Xenopus tropicalis: one gene and its partners. The protein of the gene in region 3 interacts with the protein of the main gene of each other region in a biochemical or structural test. Links are inferred from orthologs where the notes say so. Each region holds a gene or a part of one and is shown on either strand. Other genes may lie near its edges. The genes, in order: asb2, itgb1 and flna.

What was found.
Region 1: the proteins of flna (region 3) and asb2 form a complex in vitro, tested with the Homo sapiens proteins (3 studies listed by BioGRID, with this or other methods). The link is inferred for Xenopus tropicalis from reciprocal best matches to the Homo sapiens genes FLNA and ASB2.
Region 2: the proteins of flna (region 3) and itgb1 form a complex in vitro, tested with the Homo sapiens proteins (3 studies listed by BioGRID and IntAct). The link is inferred for Xenopus tropicalis from reciprocal best matches to the Homo sapiens genes FLNA and ITGB1.

What each region holds. Positions count from the first base shown.
Region 1 is NC_030684.2:88,133,337-88,137,092, forward strand, and holds the start of asb2 (ankyrin repeat and SOCS box protein 2), read right to left. Parts: upstream 2,557-3,756; 5' UTR 2,327-2,556; intron 1-2,326. UniProt on the Homo sapiens protein: Substrate-recognition component of a SCF-like ECS (Elongin-Cullin-SOCS-box protein) E3 ubiquitin-protein ligase complex which mediates the ubiquitination and subsequent proteasomal degradation of target proteins.
Region 2 is NC_030682.2:22,881,988-22,885,643, forward strand, and holds part of itgb1 (integrin beta-1 precursor), read left to right. Parts: intron 1-650; coding exon 651-736; intron 737-2,052; coding exon 2,053-2,269; intron 2,270-2,347; coding exon 2,348-2,518; intron 2,519-2,952; coding exon 2,953-3,191; intron 3,192-3,656.
Region 3 is NC_030684.2:31,809,708-31,813,363, reverse strand, and holds part of flna (filamin-A), read right to left. Parts: intron 2,681-3,656; coding exon 2,591-2,680; intron 1,100-2,590; coding exon 997-1,099; intron 458-996; coding exon 317-457; intron 114-316; coding exon 1-113. UniProt on the Homo sapiens protein: Promotes orthogonal branching of actin filaments and links actin filaments to membrane glycoproteins. Anchors various transmembrane proteins to the actin cytoskeleton and serves as a scaffold for a wide range of cytoplasmic signaling proteins.

The DNA of each region.
Region 1 (3,756 bases), about 56 Mb from region 3:
TTGCATCAATAGATGCACCAGACTTGGGTCCAGTAAGTTGAATGCAAATGCCATTTTAAATGTACACCTTTACCCTGGAAATGCTATATGCATCTTGCACCTGATTTGCATCAGTATTCAAGCACACTGTGCTGGAATTGTGTGTAATTGTGGCAACAAAAATCAGGCACAATGCTGGAATTGTGGCACAAAACTTGATGAATTGTGTCCAAAATTGCACTTTTCACACTGTTGTAAATGACTCCTTTAGTATTATATTTACAAGGTTACTTAGCATTCGGGGTGTTCATCACTTAGGTTTCTTAATAAGAAATTTGCAATTGAAGTTTGACCTTGTCTAGATCATAGTCATTTCTCTTATTTATATTTTAATAGGTACAAACTTGGCTTGAGCACAACTCATTTAGAGCTGGAAAGTATAATATAACCTCAAGCTAAGCACTGATTGTAGAGTGGATACATACAAAAGAATTCCTTAAAATGCCTTATACAAAAAGATTTACTTTCACTTGATTTATAATGAATTATCAGTAAGTTAAATGATATTGATTACTCTGTGTACAGTCTTATGTATGTTAAATTATTAATACGAATGTGATCAGCAGTTTATTGTTATCTTGAAAGCTGTAATTAAATCCCATCTATAAACAGTGTATTCGTAAACACCTTTAAAATCAACCTGCAGCCAAATCAACCATTTTGTGCAACCTTTAGCTGGCCACATATAGACAGTAATGTTGTCCAATAACAGGACTTCATTACATCACAAGGGGTGACATACATAACATCATAGCTATCTTGAGTCTCTAAGCCACTTACATCTGATGTTTGAAAACTTGATAACATGTACTTATAATCTTAGGAGGCATTCTGTTAAATAGGACAGAGAAATGTAAATGTATTACTAAAGTTATATCATATTGCCTTGGCTGGAGGCTTGTGTAATTTTCCCAGCACTGATCCCAGTAAGCAAGCTCAGCAGTTCAGCACAGTGCATATCGTTTTACAGTGTGAACCTTGCAAAATACAACACTCTTTTAAACATGAGCAACTGCCAACTTCCATTTAACTTCATTCATCACTGTAATTCAAAGCAGGATCCTGTTGCAGAGATTTTGCTCCTTGGTTGTTATAAAAAAAGATACATGATAAATGTTGTTATAGTGTAATTAGTCAGCCTCAGAAGTTCCCTTTATGTAAGTTCCCTCTTACGTATAATGATACATGATCTGATAAATTGCTTGATGTTTACTTATAGGTTTTAACAGCTGACTGAACTGTGGTTAAGCAACAGTCAGACATAATAACATGTTTCACTTATGCAATATCACTTAATACGGGAAACTAAATTTGAAGCACCAATATTGGCATCTTCCAAAGATCAAACCTAGCAAGTAAACAAATCCAGAGCAGCACCATCTGTCAGTCTATATAAAACTGCCTGTGAAATAAATTTGGCCAGGAGAACACTGTATATTCATCATTACCAGGTCAAATGTAGTTCCGTGGCAAAGACCAGCCTGTCTGTCTAGATCAATGACACTGACTTGCTTGGCCTGACCATGCATCTTTATCCAATGTCAGTGCACCTTGTACTGCACCACACTACATGTCATATTGCTATTGATAAGCTACTTACTGCACAGTAGATCAATGTTGGAAAAGCTGTGCCTGACATCCTTTCATGTTCAAAGTTGCAGTTTATCAACTAAAAAGCTAAAAATAGGAAAAAAATCTCTTTCTGTTGGTTATTTTTTTTTTGTTATGGTAATTATTTTTAATCTTAGCAAGGTATTTCTAAATATGGTTCCTTTCTGTGACCCTTAATTGGAATGGCAAAGAAGTGAAAAAGCAGCGAAAATGCATGGCTGTATGTGTATACTTTTTAAAAGGATTTCATTTTTTTTTAAATATTTGCAAGAATAAAATAACTTGGCTGATTGCTGGAGACTGCTACATTCCTTGCAAGTTACTGCCCAGACATTAAGTTAAGACTCTGTGCTCAGTCTCGGTCTGGGATTGCCAGTGGTATAGGTAGCCAAGCTAAATTAAAAGCATGAATAGCATTTTAAATAAAATGACTATAGTGATTTGCAAATAAATTATAATTTAAGAAGAGAAGCATTCTTAATCCTTGAATACATAAAAAAGAAAATGGAAGCTCTCAGAGCAAAGTACAAAGTTTGCTCTAACTTGCTTTAATTATTTGCCTTCTCATATTTGTTTTCTCTGTAAAACACCAAATACTTCATTGAATAGTATTCAGTGCAGCATTATAAAAGAATGCATTGTTTGAGGATGCTGGTAGAATGCATGCTAGCGTTACCTTTATATTTCCAGGAGAATGAAATGAGCTTGTTAAAGTGCCTAGGGCTCACAGACAGCCCATAAGTTGCACCCTTGTCCTCCCCTGCAGCAGGTTGCCTCTGCCTCTGCGAAACTGCCCTGTAACACAGACTTTGTAGGCTACAGTTTATTTCTGGAGCACCGCATGATCAGACACGACAAGCCAAAACTCTGTCATGTAGCTCAGATTTCTTATGCAGAGATTAGAAGAGCCAGCTCTGCCATCCAGAATAATATTCCCTGTTGCATTGGCCTGCAGCAGATATTACTGGATCCCGTGGAGAAGTTGCACAGAGGGCTCACTCCTCCCTTGTCTCATTGTTTATACATCCTGACAATAGGCCTTATAAGGATACATTCTTAAGAAAAAAAGAAATGATTTTGGTATTCTTCCTTAGAGGTATCTGAGCCAAGTCATCACTTGTAACAAGTCCTTGATTTCCAACTGAACACTTAAAATTATTTGGCACAATCCCAGACTCATGCCATATAAATATATGTTTTAATTCCTTCTTCCAGAAGGAATGCAATAACAGTTGGAAAGATTTTATTGTTTAGACGTAAACGTAATTTTCTTTTAATTGTAACTTTTTTTTGGCTCAGTCAAACATTTGTTTTCTATATTCTGTGAAAAAAAAGTACAGAAAATGGCTGATTGTAAATTAAAGGCATATTTACAAGAGGCTGTTAATTGTGTACAGTGTGGAAGAACCACAGGTATATGTAGGCATTTGCATATGACTGTAATGAATTACAATTTCCAATGCTAAATACATGTCCTGTTCTTCAGCATGGAGAAAGCAGTTTCTTTTTGCACATGCAGACCTACCTCTCTGAGAGCTCTTCCACTGGAACATCCTCCTTTTGGTATGAGTGGAAAGATAATGCCTCCAGATGCAAGAATATGTCCTTTTCTTTCAAAACTTCACTGGAATGGTTTGGTAGTTTTCTTTGCCTTTTACAATATGCCCCATACATTATGGCTATGACTAAGTACCCCTCTTGGTACAAAATGTGTAAGGCTTTTTGGCATTGTGTACGGACATAATAAACTGAAAATGTTTTGACTCTAAATTGAGCTGCTTTGAAACATGTTTTGGTGATCCTGAGTGCCTGCCTGCATTTCCAGTGTATACTTTATTAATAACACAAGTTTAGATCTGCAGTATGTATTGCTTTTTGGTGTATATTTAGAATACACCTGAGAGCCATCTCTTAATAAAGCACACTCAATTGGGTACCTATTTAGCAGCACACATATAAATCAGCTGACATAGATAGGTGATGCAAAGTTTGATCATGTGGCTACTGTGTACCTTCAGATTTTCAGGTTGCCCACACCCTATAGGACCCTCCTTTGCAGTGCACCTTTAAGGTGTCCACACACATAACAAGTGAACCTTTATATTA
Region 2 (3,656 bases), on a different chromosome or scaffold from region 3:
TTAAAAAACTTTGGGTATGTCCTTTTTAGCTTTATTTGGTCTTGCCATCATCACCTGCTTCTCATGTACCCAGTGATATCAGGTCTCGTGCCACTGACCACTCAGCTTTGCCACCTCTCACAGTATCAGGGGGCAGATAGAGATGTATATAACACTGCAATACTGATATGACTTTCAAAACAAGAGGCTGGAGTGCTGCAATAACAAAATATCTGTATTTGCTATCAGTCTCTCCCTATTTTGTCCAGTTTCTGCCTATTCAGAGCAATTTTTCCCAAAACAAAGATGCACGGATTTCCAAACAAAAGTAGTTACAAGAGCCATCCTTGATAAAGGTCCTTATGTGGACCAAAACGTTGATTATAGCTGGTCCTTACCATATATAATATAATATATATATGTATATAATATTGTGTGTGTGTGTGTGTGTGTGTGTGTGTGTACAGCCATGTATATTTTACCTAGTTTGATGGAGGGCATTGGGATATTCAGCTGGTAACTGGTCAGTGTAAGAATTGTCTGTTCGCTGAAGGCATCCTGTAAGATGAGAATGACTTATTGAGCCTTTGCATTTTATTTTTGTCCTGTCTGGTTGTTTCATGTGGAAATGGGATTTTTCAACTTATCACTAATAAATTTATTTTTTCTAGGTGGGACAGAATGTCTAAAAGCAAATGCCAAATCATGTGGAGAATGTATTCAAGCCGGGCCCAACTGCGGCTGGTGCACTAAAGTGGTGAGTTTTTGCCAGATTTTGTCAAGAGCTCATTAGTAAAACATTTTAGAGGTGTATTTTGGTAGTGCCCAATAATGGGCAGGTATAGATGTGTCACAGCAACTGAACCATACCTTATTACACATAAGAGCATCTTAATGCATAGAACAGAATAAAAGAACTCTACTTAATTAGTGTTACAATAAGCAGAGCAAATTATTTCATAGTCAATGGCTATAAAGCCCCAGATGTCATCTAAGCCTACTTTATTATATCCGGTAGCTGTGCGACTGAGTGACTGTGGCCAGGGAAATACTGCTGTATACATTCCGTTCTCTCATATGACTTCTATATTGAGCAAACTAGAAGATATAGGTCCTAAGTTCTAGAGCAGGGGTAGGGAACCTATGGCTCGGGAGCCAGATGTGGCTCTTTTGATGGCTGCATCTGGCTCGCTGCCAAATCTTTAATAAAAAAAAAAAACTGGGGGTGTGGCCTGCGCTTGGCATATAGAAGACGTGTTCTAAGTCTTAGAAAACGTCTTCTATCCGCCGAACGCAGGCCACGCCCTCCTCCACATCCGGCATCCTTGGCACCCACCCTACCTTGCCCCTGCGCTCGGCGGATAGAAGACGTGTTCTAAGCCTTAGAACATGTCTTCTATCCGCCAAGTGCAGGCCACGCCCTCCTCTGCATCGAATATGCATCCGGCATCCTTGGGGCCCACCCTACCTTGCCCCGCAGCATCCACGGCCAAACATATTGTATGGCTCTCACGGAATTATATTTTAAAAGATGTGGTGTTTATGGCTCTCTCAGCCAAAAAGGTTCCCGACCCCTGTTCCAGAGTATGTCTGAGACATGATGCCCTCCTAATGTAAGCCAATGCTGGAGAGGAAAGGGTGTTAAATAGCTGCAGTTCCTTTCAAGAGAGCCACAGTGATATATTGCCTCCTGTATCATTGGCCTTAGTATTGGTTATTGCCAAAAAAAAAATTAATGACTGCTGAAGTTGCAATAAAGCAAAGGAGTGCCGTCTCTGCCCAGCTAAAGGTGCTTAGTAAAGTCCAGCGATTACTGTATCTTAAACATTACACAGTAATGACATTTGCTTTCTCCTGGAAGAGGCTTCTGGCTATGGAAAATGGCAGAACAGCCCAATACCCTTGTACCATTTAAAATGAATTGTACGAATGGCATCTTTGCTGCACATTTATAGCTGAATCCCACTTTGAATTGAGGTGCAAAAATTAAAACCTTTTAATTTGTTGAATTTCAAGTATATATCCATTATCAGAGTAATTTATATGCCTTCTTTTCCCCGTGGTTAATCTCAGAACTTCTTACAAGAAGGAGAGCCCACGTCAGCACGTTGTGACGATTTGGCTGCTTTGAAAAACAAAGGCTGCCCTGAAGAAGACATCCAAAACCCCAGGGGACGTAAACAAAAGCTAAAAGATATCCCAATAACAAACAAAGGGAAAGGAGAACGTATGGACCCTGCAAACATCACCCAAATCCGACCTCAACAACTGGTATTCGAACTGCGATCAGGTAGGCTCCTAAACCTTAGATAGGGGGCAGCTTTCTCCTCTCCAGCACCATCTAATTGTGTCTGTTGTTTTATGCTAGGTGAACCCCAGACATTTAATTTGACATTCAGAAGAGCAGAAGACTATCCAATTGACCTGTACTATCTTATGGACCTCTCATTTTCTATGAAAGATGACTTGGAGAACGTTAAAAGCCTTGGAACAGCACTAATGACAGAAATGGAGAAAATTACTTCAGATTTCCGGATAGGTACATTTATCTCAAATTACTGTTGCCTAGCTGTATTATATATCAGCACTTGGTAGCCTGATGTCACTAGTCTTATTCCTATGCTTTAATACCTTGCACTATTTGCTGGCACTTATGTGAAATTAGTTACTGTTACATTACAATTATGTAGAAAACAGTAATTGTTACATAGTACTGCCAATTACAGTGTATGTCGCTCCTTAGAAAGCTGGCCATTTTATCCCTCCTTCCTAAATTGATGGGTGCTTACAAGTACCTGTAACTTTCTCTGCATCCTTTGAGAAATACTTTTAAAATGGCATGCCAGTGTATACCATTAGTATAGTCATCAGTTTTAGACCAGCCATGTAAAATTATAAAGGTTTCCTGCCCTTTGGATACTGGCATAAGCAATTCTACCAAACACATTCCTATTTTACTTGTTTTCTCTCTAGGTTTTGGCTCTTTTGTGGAAAAAACAGTCATGCCCTACATAAGCACCACTCCTGCCAAGCTTATTAACCCATGCACAAGTGATCAGAATTGCACCAGCCCATTCAGCTATAAAAATGTCCTCAACCTCACTAGCGACGGAAAGTTGTTTAACGACCTGGTAGGCAAGCAGCAGATCTCCGGTAACTTGGATTCTCCCGAGGGAGGCTTTGATGCAATTATGCAGGTTGCGGTCTGTGGTGTAAGTATTTTTAGCCATTATTTTGATCTTGGTTACGAGACTGTCTGTTCTGTACCACAAGAAAAATCATTAAGGGCATTGGCACATTGTTATGAGCCAAGGGGGTCTGGTCCAAAGGTTGGGCCTAACTGGTTGGGCCTAAGGTCTACCTTAGAATGTATTGTGGTTTTTGGCCTTAGAAATTCTCAAGAACTTTTGGGCAGTATTGGAAGTACATGTAAAAAGTCAAACAGCGTTTGTTTCGCCGCCCCATATAGATAGCTCACACATTTATTTTACTCTGGCTTGAAATTCTGCACCTTTGAGCAGTGTCATGTTTTAGTGGCTTAAATCGGTTGTTCACCTTTAATTTTACTTTTAGTATTATGTAGAGCAATGTTGTCCAACTTATAACATGTAGCAGGCTATTTATCTCATACAGCACAATTCAATTCAAATGATGTCATATAGTGAAGTCAATGGGGT
Region 3 (3,656 bases):
AGTGTTCACAGTGAAGACAGCAGGTTTATTCACTGTTCCATGAATCAAGCCTGGGCCATAGGCAGTAACATGGCCACTGTTTACATAATCCACATAAAACTGTAGGGGGCTTCCTATAAAGCAAGAGTTCTGGTTAAGAGTGAAAAATAAATACAGCCGCCAGTCAAAATGCAAAGTACAAGAATACTTAATACAAATATCAGCATATCAATCAAGCCTCTTATAAAACCCTTTGCCAGTAAAATTGTCAAGCTACTTTTAAGGATTAAAGGTTTTCCTAACAGATTGGTGCCAAGGTGGAGCTGCAGAATATTACCTGGAATATGCATGCCATCATACTTTATATCCATCTCATGGAGTCCAGCTTCAGTGGGAGCATATCTCACCGTGACTGTTCCATCTTTGTTATCAGTGATGTCAGGCTTGGCCACCTTCCCTGATGGCATTCGCACTTCTCCTGCAGTCAAAATGAATGGCTTTGTTAGCGGAAAAAAAGGTGGTCGACCACCCAACAAAGTTCCCTTTCATGGACCTATTAATACAAACTACTTATAGCTTATGGAAAACCCATAAGGACAGAATTGTACTTCATATAGGGTCATATTCCGCAGTGCTTTACAGGGACAGATAAACTGAAAATTCTGTTAGTGTTCCATTTAGGGATTGCCTTGGATATTCTGGTTTCCACCCACCCTCCACTATCATACAAGGCTTCCTTATTATCATCATAAATGATAGACTATGATACGCAAACTCTGTTCTACTCCCAAAGCCCTATTAACCAACAACACCCTAGTTACCACCAGTTATTAAAACACAAAATTCTTGGCTAGACAATCACTAGTCATACTTAGAAATGTTATAGTCAAGTTATGCTAGTTTGCCACAAAACCATGGTAGAAAAAATTAGTATCAACACTTAATACTAGTACATTTGTCATGCAAAACTGCAGTCAGACAACAGCTTAATGTCTGTTTCCTCTACTCCATGCTTACCTGTAATCTCTCCTTTTTTAATGGTGAAGGGAATAACCAGATCAAAAGGTCTAAGTCCTGCCACATCCAGTCCATTTACACCCATAACTGGACGATCAGTAGCCTGAAATGAAACTTAAGTGAGTAAAGAGTCCTTCCTGACAAGGAAACACAAAACACTTCCGTCAACAGATGACAAAAAGATTCCCAACTCCAGTGCAAGTTCTTATCTGTACTTCAATAAAGACAATGCACAGAAAATAGCAATAACTATGTAATGTAAAAACCACAAGTTTCCTACTATGGGACATCATAATGATTGAGGAGCAGCAAAGTCAGTAGGGACAGATTCAGGGAATCTTCCAATTCCAACCCCAAAAACCTCTAAATGGTTTATAGAATCTAGTATATCATCTTCTATCAGTATGGTCTTTGGGGATTTCCAGAAATAAGCTCTGGCAATTCAACATTCTGATAGCCAATGATATATCTGGGGGGTGTTGTAAAGCTGCAGCTATAGGTTGGATATGCCAAACGTACATGTGACTCCCTCCCCCTCGGGTCCACTTTCTTGGTAATAAGCTGATAAGTAAAAATGGCTGTGGCGTGGATTAAATTAATTCAATATTAGCGCAAAACTTTATTTAATAAAGCTTTCTGTGAATTGTTTGATAGAATACAAAACAATTCATATTAAGAAACATGGTATATATGTTTTATTTGAACTTGAAACAGAGTTGGTTTTTACACACAAAAAAAAAAATGGATTTAGTCTTTGCAGGATGTTTATCCAAAAAAGCTGGCAAACCTGGAAAATGAATTCTGCAAGAGACCATTAGACAAAGTCATCAGACACCAGGTGAAGACTGACCAGAGGTGGAAAAGGTCACCTCATTTGTGCCACCCACACAAGGGCTGGTGACAGTAAGGAAATCTGATAAGAGATGGATTTTATGGGCAGGGAGACATTAGATGTTGGGTATGAGGAGGGGGAAAAAAAGAAGAATGGGAAGGTATGGGAACGGACAAAGACTGAGCCCAGCAACATCAACCCTCCTCCCCAAATTTGAAGGCCAGTGGAGACCGAGGTGAAAGTCCATCTCCAGGGCATTGCATGCAGGGAAGGAAAATAAAACTCCTTAGAATCCATGGTGGCGCTTTGTCACAGCAGAAAGCTACTGAAGTGAAGCATTCCCTACAGAATCAGAGGGTAGGTTAGGCTGAAAGACCAGAAATATAGATAAAGGTCTGACCAATGAGAGGCTTTTTTTTTTTTTTTAAAAGCTGGCACAAGACGGTTTGTACTTGTGAAGGAGCATGCAACAAAGTTCATCGCTAACATTCAAAGCAAGTCACTTCAAACAACCCAGCAGATAAAGCCATATGTTTTTTACTCCGCCCCCTTATAAATGGGTACCCAGAAAATACTCCAAGAGCTCAAACCAGACCCCTAGAGGCCAGCTGCAACAAACAAACAAGCTGATAGAGTAAAGCTTTGAGAAGATGCAGTGGTTGTGGCAAGTACTGGATTCCAGAGTTCCTTTCTCCAAACCCTCAATGCCCTGGGAAGGTTATTCACCTCCAAATGACACATTTACTGTTAAAGGCAGGGTACCCAGGGTTGTTGCATGCCCGGGTAAGCGTATGGTGGGGCTAACTGCTGTTGAACCATCTGCTGAGGCATCATTTGCTCGCCGTCCAGAGCCTGTGTTGGAGGTGTAAGCAAAGGTTAGATTACTTTCCAGCTAGTCAAGTAACAAGACACAGGTCAACGGATTGACTATATCGTAAAACGTTTCCCAGCTGTTGCTGAAATACAACTTCCAAATGCTAGCAGCAGAAGCAGATCACGATTCCCCCAGGAATATATGTGAAGATTCCAAACCTACAGAGATACAAGTCTTTATGCACAACTAATGGTTCTCTACGCCTATGGCCACCACCAAGAGAGGTTCAACTGGTCTTCTATGCAGTTCCTGCCTCCCAATTCCCATCTTACATTTCTATTTGACTTTGTGTGTTATGAGAAACCTAAGGAAGAGGTGATTCCTAGTCTTTTGTGTTAGGTGTCATTTCTTTAGGATTTATTGTATATGCCTTTATTCCAGTCTAGACTTTTCCCATCAATCTGTGTGTGCAGACCATACATAAACAGAACACTGATGTGACTGAACCACAAATGTGGCTGGCTGATGGAGAGTTTAGTGCATTACTAAACCGAATACAATGTCTCTGCTTATCTATAGATATAGAACAGTTTGGTCCCAGAGTATACTGACAGGAGGTTTGGCCAAACAGTCCGATACAGTTTCCTCATATTTTGTTTAGTGCTGGTTGAGTTCAAGGTATAGTATCTTACAATCTCTAGAAACAATCCATCTCCAGAGGAAAGATGCTGAATGGGTTTGGAATATTCTAGCAGCAAGCCTAGCTCTTAAAATTCAGGCACCACATGCATGTAGGATATTCAGATTACAAAAAACCCCAAAACTTCAAACATCTCCTCTCATGGTCGACAAAACTGGGAAATGCAAATTTTAGCATAGGAAATTTTGCCAAGGTCCTTGTGGACATGCTATTATGTACACAACATGTATCTTTACACTTTATGAGGGGAAAAGTTTAAAGCCAACATTCTGGAAACTTGAAGATATTATTCCCATTCAAGCAGACTAAATTAA